Linked DNA regions of Cricetulus griseus. The protein of the gene in region 3 purifies or fractionates together with the protein of the main gene of each other region. This does not show direct contact. Links are inferred from orthologs where the notes say so. Each region holds a gene or a part of one and is shown on either strand. Other genes may lie near its edges.

What was found.
Region 1: the proteins of Ptges3 (region 3) and Dyrk1b purify together in Homo sapiens (affinity purification with mass spectrometry; 3 studies listed by BioGRID and IntAct, with this or other methods). This does not show direct contact. The link is inferred for Cricetulus griseus from reciprocal best matches to the Homo sapiens genes PTGES3 and DYRK1B.
Region 2: the proteins of Ptges3 (region 3) and serine/threonine-protein phosphatase 5 purify together in Homo sapiens (affinity purification with mass spectrometry; 5 studies listed by BioGRID and IntAct, with this or other methods). This does not show direct contact. The link is inferred for Cricetulus griseus from reciprocal best matches to the Homo sapiens genes PTGES3 and PPP5C.

The regions. Positions count from the first base shown.
Region 1 is NC_048602.1:7,912,690-7,915,193, reverse strand, and holds the end of Dyrk1b (dual specificity tyrosine-phosphorylation-regulated kinase 1B), read left to right. Parts: coding exon 1-117; intron 118-392; coding exon 393-708; intron 709-1,035; coding exon 1,036-1,142; intron 1,143-1,228; coding exon 1,229-1,600; 3' UTR 1,601-1,971; downstream 1,972-2,504.
Region 2 is NC_048602.1:11,654,136-11,657,886, forward strand, and holds the start of serine/threonine-protein phosphatase 5, read right to left. Parts: upstream 2,496-3,751; 5' UTR 2,418-2,495; coding exon 2,297-2,417; intron 1-2,296. UniProt on the Homo sapiens protein: Serine/threonine-protein phosphatase that dephosphorylates a myriad of proteins involved in different signaling pathways including the kinases CSNK1E, ASK1/MAP3K5, PRKDC and RAF1, the nuclear receptors NR3C1, PPARG, ESR1 and ESR2, SMAD proteins and TAU/MAPT.
Region 3 is NW_023276806.1:129,802,452-129,806,187, forward strand, and holds the start of Ptges3 (prostaglandin E synthase 3), read right to left. Parts: upstream 2,849-3,736; 5' UTR 2,840-2,848; coding exon 2,814-2,839; intron 1-2,813. UniProt on the Homo sapiens protein: Cytosolic prostaglandin synthase that catalyzes the oxidoreduction of prostaglandin endoperoxide H2 (PGH2) to prostaglandin E2 (PGE2).

The DNA.
Region 1 (2,504 bases), on a different chromosome or scaffold from region 3:
GAGGTGTTGGGCATCCCGCCCGCGCCCATGCTGGAACAGGCACCCAAGGCTCGCAAGTACTTTGAGCGGCTGCCTGGGGGCGGCTGGACCCTACGAAGGACAAAGGAACTCAGGAAGGTGCGGCCCCTGCCCTGTGCCACTTCTCCCTCCCTGGGTGGCCCCTCACTCACACTTGGGGCTCCCCTCTCCCTGCGTCTTTCCCTGTCTTTCTCCCCCACCCCTTGTCTGTCCTTTGCTTCCTCCCCTGCCTATCCCGTCACCGTCCCACCCCACAGCTCTTGTTAGCTTCTCTCTTGCTCTCTTGTGCCTCTGTTTCCCCGTGTGTGTCTCCCTGCCCCTCCTGCCCACTGACGGCCACTCTCTTGCCCCCCCTCCCACCCCCTCCCTGCCAGGATTACCAGGGCCCCGGGACACGGCGGCTGCAGGAGGTGCTGGGCGTGCAGACGGGCGGGCCCGGGGGCCGGCGGGCGGGGGAGCCGGGCCACAGCCCCGCCGACTACCTCCGCTTCCAGGACCTGGTGCTGCGCATGCTGGAGTATGAGCCCGCCGCCCGCATCAGCCCTCTGGGCGCTCTGCAGCACGGCTTCTTCCGCCGCACGGCCGACGAGGCCACCAACACGGGCCCGGCAGGCAGCAGTGCCTCCACCTCGCCCGCACCCCTCGACACCTGCCCCTCCTCTAGCACCGCCAGCTCCATCTCCAGCTCTGGTGGGTGCCCACTGTCACGTGTGCCGCAGGGCCCAGCCTGGGATACCTCCCGCTGGGCCTCTGTCCTAGAGCCTTAGAGCTAAGCTACCAGATTCTGAGCTGCAGGGTGAGGTGGGGTGGGACAGTCCCACGTGATCCAGGCTTGAGAGTCAGCCCCTAAAGCTGCCTCTAGCCTCCCACACAACTCTGACCCAAGATCTCAAAATCAGGCTGTTAGAGCCTTCAAACCAGCTCTGGCCTCAGAGTCCCAGCATGGCGCCTAGATGTTGAGCAGACTGCCTGCATCTTACCGCCACTGCCCTCTTTTCTCCTTCCCGGTGCTTCCAGGAGGCTCCAGTGGCTCCTCCAGTGACAACAGGGCCTACCGCTACAGCAACCGATATTGTGGGGGACCTGGGCCCCCCATCACCGACTGTGAGATGAACAGCCCCCAGGTACTAGAGCTTGAAACCTTGGAGGTGGGTGGCAGGCGCTTAACACTTCAGGACCTTAACATCCTTCGGTTTTTTGTTTTTTTAAGGTTATACCCTCCCAGCCTCTGCGCCCCTGGGCAGGGGGTGATGTGCCCCACAAGACACATCAAGCCCCTACCTCTGCCTCGACATTGCCAGGGACTGGGGCCCAGTTACTCCCTCAACCCCGATGCCTTGGACGTCCCGCATCGCCAACGTCACCACCACCCCCGGAGCTGATGGATGTGAGCCTGGTGGGCAGCCCTCCAGACTGCTCCCCACCTCATCCAGCACCTGCCCCCCAGCACCCGGCTGCCTCATCACTCCGGACTCGGATGACGGGAGGTCGACCACCTCTCCCACCCCCGGATGACCCTGCCACTCTAGGGCCTCGCCTGAGCCTCCACGGTGTACCCCAGAGCACAGCAGCCAGCTCATGACCCTGCCCCCTCCCTGGGGCCCCTCCTGAAGCCATACCCCCTCCCCCCATCTGGGGGCCCTAGGCTCCCATCCTCATCTCTCCCCTTGACTGGACTTGCTGCTACCCAGCTGGGGTGGGTGAGGCCTGCACTGATTGGGGCCCAGGGCAGGGGGTCAAGGGAGAGGGGTTTTGGCCACGCCCTCCCCACTAAGACTGGACCCTTGGCCCCCTCTCCTCCCTTGTTTTCTATTTATTGTACCAAAGACAGTGGTGGTCCGGTAGAGGGGGAGATTCCCCCTCACCCCAGGACCCTAGGAGGGGGTGGGGGCAGGTAGGGGGAGATGGCCTTGCTCCTCCTTGCTGTACCCCCCAGTAAAGAGCTTTCTCACATGCCTGCCTGAGCGTTTGCAGGGCCTTGGCTCCCTCTCCTGACCCTCAGAGGCATGGTGGGGAAGGGTGCTTTGTGGTGTGGGTATTGGCCCTCCTGGGGACATCATCCTTCTTGGTGCAGGCATGGGGCAGCAGGAGGTTGGCGGGCTGTAGAACCATAGACACATCCTGGGTACAAGAATCCTAGCCCACATCTGCCTTTTCCGGGGTAAAAAGGTCCCTTTCTGGCCTGTTGCTGGAAATTGTAATGTTCTGCCCTCATCTGCCAGGGCTCCCATAGAGTCCACCCAGGAATGGCTTTTTTGTGTCGGGCAGGCACCCAGTAGGCTCTGGGTATACTCTACAGGCCTTCCTTGGTTACTATCCAGAGAGGCTATGGGGACAGATTTTACCCCACCTGTATCCAGTCCCATTCTGGAGTCATTGCAGAATATTGAGATTCTCGGGCAAAAAGACGCTCCCTGACTTCCAGGTAAGTGATTTTTGTTTCATGGCAATTTGGAACCAGCTGTCTTCCCACCCAGTCTTGCAAG
Region 2 (3,751 bases), on a different chromosome or scaffold from region 3:
CACCCATTAGCTCCCCTCCCACTCTAGTGCCCCACCCCTGCAGAGTCCTATTCTGCTCTGCCCCCCCCCCCCCGCTTCCTGCCCCCTCCCCCCCAAATCTTTAGAAGACACAAATCTGAAGCAGGGTTATTTCTCCAGAACCTAAGCTGAAGGCTCCTGTCCCTTCCCATGGCCTAACTCTAACCACCTCCACCCCAGCCCCACTCATCTAAGTGCCAGGCTCCGCTCACCTTTGGGCCCTGACCAACTGCCACCCTCCCCCTCTCTAGGAAGCCAGCCTCATTTCCTCCCTCCAGCCAGGTCAGAGGTTCCACCCTCTCAACTGTCCTCCCTCAGAACCAGCTGGGCCACTCTCTTAAAACCCTCTGTATCTCCTTGCTGCCCTTAGGATGATCTCTATAACCCCCCCCCACACACACACACAGAGAGACATCTAAGGCTCCTCTACCTACTTTTCCCACTTTATTTGTGACGGTCTTGCTATGTGTTCCTGGCTGTCACTAAACTCACAATTCTCCCGACTCAGCCTCCCCAGAGCTGGGCTGGCAGGCATGCACCACAGTGTCTGGACTTACCTCCACTGGGGCCCACCTCTCCCTAGGATTCTAGATCTTTCTCCCCCGCTCCCCCTCACCCCCTACTGTCTGCAGATGTTTCCCTGGGTCTGTATCTCTTTTGGCCCATATCTGAAATAGCACTCCTAGGGACCCCCCACCCACTCCCCCTCTTGCCATCTGCCCCCATTTCTCCACCCTCCTTCAGAACTGAGACGCTTGTCCCCCGGGGGTCCCCAATATTCACCTGCCAGGAACTTGTGGGCTGGCTTTATCATTCACAACTGCACTGTCAACATCATCGCCTTCACCTTGGAGGCGATGCCTGGGGCTAGGTGATCAGGCAACTGGCTTTCTTTCGGGAAGAACCTTCCTCTCTTAGCCTGGGGCACCTTTCCTAGTTTTCCTTCCCTCTGGCTCACTTTTTTTTCTTTTCCCTCAGCAGCCCCGTTTCGGTTTTAGGAAAATGCCATTCTAGGTTCTCTGTAGATCCCACTTGTAGGTAACTTCATCCATTCCCAGGGCACCTCCAACCACGGGCTGGTCACACTCCAAATTTTCCCCAGCCCAGACTGGCCCATCTATCTACTCAATGTGTCTTTTTTTTTTTTTTGGACAGTCCAGAAAACCCTTCATAGGTTTTGCTCGATCTGGTCCCTCATCTTACTAATCTCATCTTGTATCAAGTCCCCCCCCCCAAGGCTTGCTCAAGCTCCGACTAAGCCAATCTGTTTTCACTCGTTCTGCAACTGAGGGTCTCTGAGCTATGTCAACTGACCCACGTGGGAAAGAAACCCCTTCCCAATTCTCCTTAAAAAGCCCTTCTCCCGGGCATTCCCTAACCCGGCTCTATCCAGAGCAGACTTTAACCTGCACTCTCTACTTTTGGCACCTCGATCCAAAGTGCTCACCGAAAGTTTTTAGCAATTGTCGGGGCTGCTTGAACCCAAGCTATGGGTCCTCACTCATTGCTACAGCCTCCGGAGCCAAGCACGTGACAGTTCATGCAAAGGTACTGAGGGAATGAATGGATGGATGGATGGAAGGATGGACGGACGGACGGACACATTCCCACATCGCACTCTTAACCCAAGGATCACGCCAGCTCTTTCCTGCTCCACCTCTACTCCCTACTCATCACCTCGGATCACCCCCCCCCCCCCCGCGCGCCCCAACTAAGTCTCCTTCCAACCTAATCATCTATCTCGTCCATCCCCACAGATCCCTTCTCCCTGGGGGCCTTCCCTCCTCCTTCCTCAGTTGGCCAGAGTCACCTCGGGTGTCCCCCGCCGCTCGGCCAGCGCCATCACTGCCCTCAACACATGTCACTAGCCGGTGGCGCCCTCTTCAGGTCTGACCTGCACCTAGCAGCACCTCTGTCTGTCCAGGTCTCGCGTTTTGGCAGCAATCACATGTCGGGTGTCCCCCCCCAACCCCCGCTTGTACCCCCCCCGCATCGTGCAGCAGAGCCTGCCTCAGTCTCCCCACCGCGGCGAGCGGCTTCTGCTCCGGAACCCCGCTTTCTCCAAGGACTCTCTCTCTCTCCCCCCCACCTCCACCCCCCCCACCACCACCCCGGGTCTGGGCCGCCTCCTCCTCGCGCCGGCTGCCTCGGGAGGAACCTGCATCCTCGGCGCCCACAGGCTCCGGCTCCGCGTTGCCATGGTTCCCCGCGGGGGGCCCCCGGCCGGCTTCCTCCCGCGCGGCCTGGACCGCTCGCCCCGCGCCGGGCCCGCACGCACCTTTGAAGTAGTCGTTGGCCTGCGTCTTGAGCTCCTCCGCCCGCTTCAGAGCGCCGTCGGCCGGGGGCTCGTCCCGGGGGGGCTCGGCACACTCAGCCCGCTCGCCCTCCGCCATCGCCATGCCGCAAAGCGACCCCCCCTGCCCTGGCAACGGCCGCTCGCGGCACACAGGCCGAACCGTCGCGAAGGAGCGCCGAGTGACCGCCGCCGCTGCCGCACAAGTGTCGTAAAGCGCGGGCCCCAAAGGCTCGCCTGGCGCGCCTGCGCGGCGAGCCATCTCCCTCCCTCCTCCCCCCCCTCCCTCCCGCCACCGGCTCGCACGCTGGTGCTCGCGGAGGGCAAGGTGACCAGAGGCCGTCCAGATGCCCCCCTCGTGGGAAAGGATCCCATCGCGGGGGAGCGCTGGAGGCCCGGGGTGAGCCCGGAGGGCGCCTGCTCCCCAAAGTTAAGAGAGTTCTCGGGCAGCAAGAAAGTTTCTCGGGGTCTCAGGGACCCGCGGGCATGCGTTTGGGCTTGGTGATGATGGATCGGCGCTCTGATGCCTGCCTCCCCGCGCGGGCTGGGACCGCTTTCACGGCAGCACCCTGCCCAACCGAACCGGGAAACCTGCTCCGGAGTTGGGTGCTTGCTGCCTGGTTGCTCCTTGTGACCTTGAACAAGTCGCCCCCAGTGTCCCTTCTGGGGAAAAACAACAACAACAACAACAAAAACAAAAAACACATAGTTCCCCCAAGGAAACCGAATAAAAGTTTGAACCTTGCCAATCGGTCTTTCTGGGTTATGAACAGGGGCATCCCGGTTTTTTCGAGTCTTGAGCCAAGTATCGACTGTGCTGTGTTCTGGGTTCAATAGTATATTTTTTTTTAAAAAAAATAGTGTTTTATTTATGTATTTGTTTTATTTATTTATTTATTTATTTATTTTTTGAGACAGGGTCCCGCTTTGTAGCCCTGGCTGGCCTGGAACTTGCTGTGCAGACCAGGCTGGCCTTGAACTCACAGAGATCCATCTACCTTTGCCTCCCAGGTGTTGGCTTGCTGCATCATGGTGGGCCCCAGCAGAATTTTTTTAAAGGACCGGGGATGTAGCTCAGTTGGTCGAATACTAGTCTAGCATCCTCCAGGCTTGAGTACCGTCCCAGCACCACGTGAAACCAGACTGAAAGGTGGATCTCTGTAATGGGAACATTTGGTAGGTGGAGACAAGAGGACCAGAATTTCAAGTTCAAGGCCAGACTGGGATACTTGAGACCCTGTCACAAACACAAACAACCAGACCAATGGAGTCTGTTAAATGACGCTTGGGTTGCTGTCTGCATCTCCCTTGCCTGGATCACAGCTTCGGCCTCCTCTGATGCTTGCTTCGGTTCATCCAACCCCCTCCAGTTTACCTTCCATATGGCAGTCAGAGGCATCTTGCTAGAACACTGTAAGGCTGGCACCCGCCCCAGTCTTC
Region 3 (3,736 bases):
CCTTCAATTCTCAGAACTCACATAAAGATGGGAACTAGGACTCCATGCATGCCCACACACATACATACCATGAGCCCACCCATCTAAAATAAAAACTACAATACCGCCCCCATTCAGTGAATACTAACAGCTACAGATAACCATTATCACCCAGTTGTCGTGTTTAACTTTAGAAAACTGTGCCTTCACTACACAGCATGTTACCATGTTTATTAAACAATGCTTAGACCCTTCCCAAATAATGTGGGTTGTAAACTTGGATCCTAAATCAACTCAAAGGCATTCTTGTACATTTTCTTGATCAAACTATTTGAAGTGTAAAAACACATTCTAATTAATTGTGAGCCGAACTTTCTAGTGCCAATACCCTGTTGCTGCCCTGCTCCATGCTTCCTAAATGGACTGAAGACCAGCAGCAGCTCTTTGGGATTTGTCCAGGCTTTCAAGTATCAGATTGGAAGTGACTAAAAGCAACTACAAGGTTCTGGACTTCTCTGGGTAAGTCAGCCATTGTTGGACTATTCCGTTGACACAAGCATCATGTACAAAAGCCAATAAATCCTGTTATATATTCACTGAATCAGTTCTCTTCCATTAGAGAACCCCCAATAACACCAAATAGCTGGCACACGAGGATTCAGTGAGGATTTTATCTACTTAACTTGGAGAAAATGGGTATACAGTCCACCTGCTTTTTGCCTAGCGGCTGAGGCTAATTAATGAGCAGATTCTTTACCAAGCACATTACAATAATTGCTTGCCTAGCAGCAACAGCCTTTAATTCCAGGACTTGGGAGGTAGAGGCAGGTGGGTTAAAGGTGTGTGCTACCATGCCCAGGCTCAGTTTTTCTGTTCTTTGTTCATTCACTACTTAAGACACAGGAACCAGCAAAGTTAACCTACTTCCTTAGAAGCACATTAAGTAATCAATGCTAAGGGTGAACTGCTTTCTGTCCAATTTCTCATGTTTAACTCTGAAATTCAGTACCTCAGCATGAGACTTTTACTTTAGACAGGGCTTTTAAAGGTAATGGAATCAAAGCAGGCTCTCCTCTAATATGACTGGGGCCCTTGTAAGGGGAGATGAGGACACAGAGGTGGCTATCAAGTGAAAGAGACTCCCTAAAAGAACCATTTCTTACAAAATAAAAATAATTAAAAGTCACTTTTTGTTTAATGTTAAGGTCTCACTCTGCAGCTGGCCCCAAATCTGCCTTCTCACAGTAGTGTCTAAACAGTCTCTTCACAAACCCAAGCCTCTTCTCTAACAAACCAAGAACAAAACAAAATGACCTGTGTTCAGTTCTCAGCACCCACACCAGGCCTTCACACACAATTGTACAAAAATTGATTGTCTTATGTTTGTATGTAGTATACATGCAAATGTGGTGGTGGTGGGGTTGTGAAGTGGCCAGATGTCTGTCTCAACCTTGCTCCACTTCCACACCTTTGAGACTCTCACTAAATATGAAAGCAAGTGGCTAACAAACCCTAACAGGCCCCCTGTCCTGAACACACAGTGCAAATAGCTTTTTACATGGGTGATGGAAAGGCTTCAGTGATTTTTTTTATTTTACATACATTGTGTTCTGCCTCTGTGAGGGTGTTGGATCCATTGGAGCTGCCTTGTGGGTACTGGGAACTGAACCTGGGTCCTCTGTTAGACTAGCCAGTTTCTTAACTGCTGAGCCATCTCTTCAGCCGCCGCCCCCACCCCCATGGAAATTTGACCTTAGGTCCTTATGTTTGTTGGCAAATACTCTTACTGGCTAAACCATTTCCCCGGTCCCCTTTCAGTGTTTTAAAGCAAAGTCTTGCTATGAGGGACATTTTCGAGACAGGGTTTCTCCTGTAACAATCCTGGCTGTCCTGGAACTCAAGAGATCTGCCTGCTTCTGCCTTCCAAGTGTTGGGATTAAAGGGGTTGGCCATCACTGCCCAGCTATGAGCAAGTCTTAACTATGCAGGTGTGGATGGCCTCAAATTGCAACAAACTTCCTGCCCCTACCTTTCCACAGCTGGTGTTGCAGGTGGAAGCAAAAGGAGAAGGAACGAATGAAAGAATGAAGACTAAACAAAGCTCTTGTATCTCTATCATGATAGTTTTTTGTTGTTGTTGTTTTTTTGTTTTTTCAAGACAGGGTTTCTCTGTGGCTTTGGAGGCTGTCCTGGAACTAGCTCTTTAGACCAGGCTGCCCTCCAACTCACAGAGATCCGCCTGCCTCTGCCTCCCGAGTGCTGGGATTAAAGGCGTGCGCCACCACTGCCTGGTTCATGATAGTTTATAATAAGGAACAAGACACAAAGTTCTGCCAGACACTATGGACATGCCTGTTATCCCAACACTTGGGAGGAGAAGGCAGCAGGTACAGGCCAGGCCCCACCTAGAAATTTTTAGCTTGCTGTAGTGATGCACACTAATCCCAGCACTCAGGAGGCAGAGGTAGGGGAATCTCTGTGAGTTAGAGATAATAAAAACAATTCTACATTTGAGAATTTACAGAGCTGGGCATGGTGACATATGCTTGTAATCTCAGACTTGTGTCAAAAAGAGGATCACAAGTTCACATAAGCCCGGCACACACCTACCTAAAAAAACCCCAAACTCCCCCAAAGCCCCACCATCTGTTCCATAGTGTTGTCTAGGGGTCAAGGATAAGCAGTAACTGTAACCTACAATGTTTGTCACTTTGTTCCTATGTCTTCTAGTTAAAGTCTAACTCAACAAGAAAAAGGAAAAATCAGTTGCCAGGTTACAGTGGTTAGGAAATCAACATTGAACAAAGGCCATCAGTTACTCTTTTCAAACTTACAAGACAGAAACATACCGCATGCTCATTTTAAGCTTGGAAGGCTGAATATTTTATCTTGGGGGTTCTGCAAAGTAAATACATAAATAAATATGTAACTTTAATCCAAGCACTGGGGAGGCAGAAGCAGGCTAACCTCCAGGAGTTCACTGCTAGCCTAGTCTACAGTTCCAGGAAAAGCCAGGGCTACACAATGAGACTGTCTCAAAGAATAAGCCTATTTAGCAGACACCAATAAACAATGCCATAAGTCAAACATTCTTCCAATTTTCACTTTAAAGATTCTAAGTCATTAGTTACATGCCTTGACATTTATTTACAAAATGGTATATACTGAACATTTTCATCTAAGGAGTTGTTCATATTTATTTTATGTGTGTGTTGCTACATGTATGTACATTGCCTGTATGCCTGGTACTGGAGGCCAGAGGGCCCAGAGAGGTCCAAAGAGGGTGCTGGATAGCTTGAAACCAGAGTTACAAATCAAAGTAACATCTGGTCTCTGAATACTTCAAAATGAATAATGGCCAAGTGGTGGTGGTGCACGCCTTTAATTCCAGCACTCAGGAGGCAGAAGCAGGTGGATCTCCGTGAGTTCGAGACCAGCCTGGTCTACAAGAGCTAGTTCCAGGACAGCCTCCAAAGCCACAGAGAAACCCAGTCTCCAGAAAAAACCAAACAAACAAAAAACCAAACAAACAAACAAAAAACCAAACAAAAGAGATAAGGGCATAATGGTGCAAGCTTAAAATCCCCAACCAAAGGTTGTTCAATGATTAAGAGAACCGGCCCCAGGATTCTATCCTCAACAACTATATGGTGTTTCACAAACATCTTTAACTCCATAGTTCAGGTAATCCAACACTGTATACTGGCCTTTGGAAGTGCCAAAAGCAGGTGGTACACAGACAAATGTGCAAACAAAA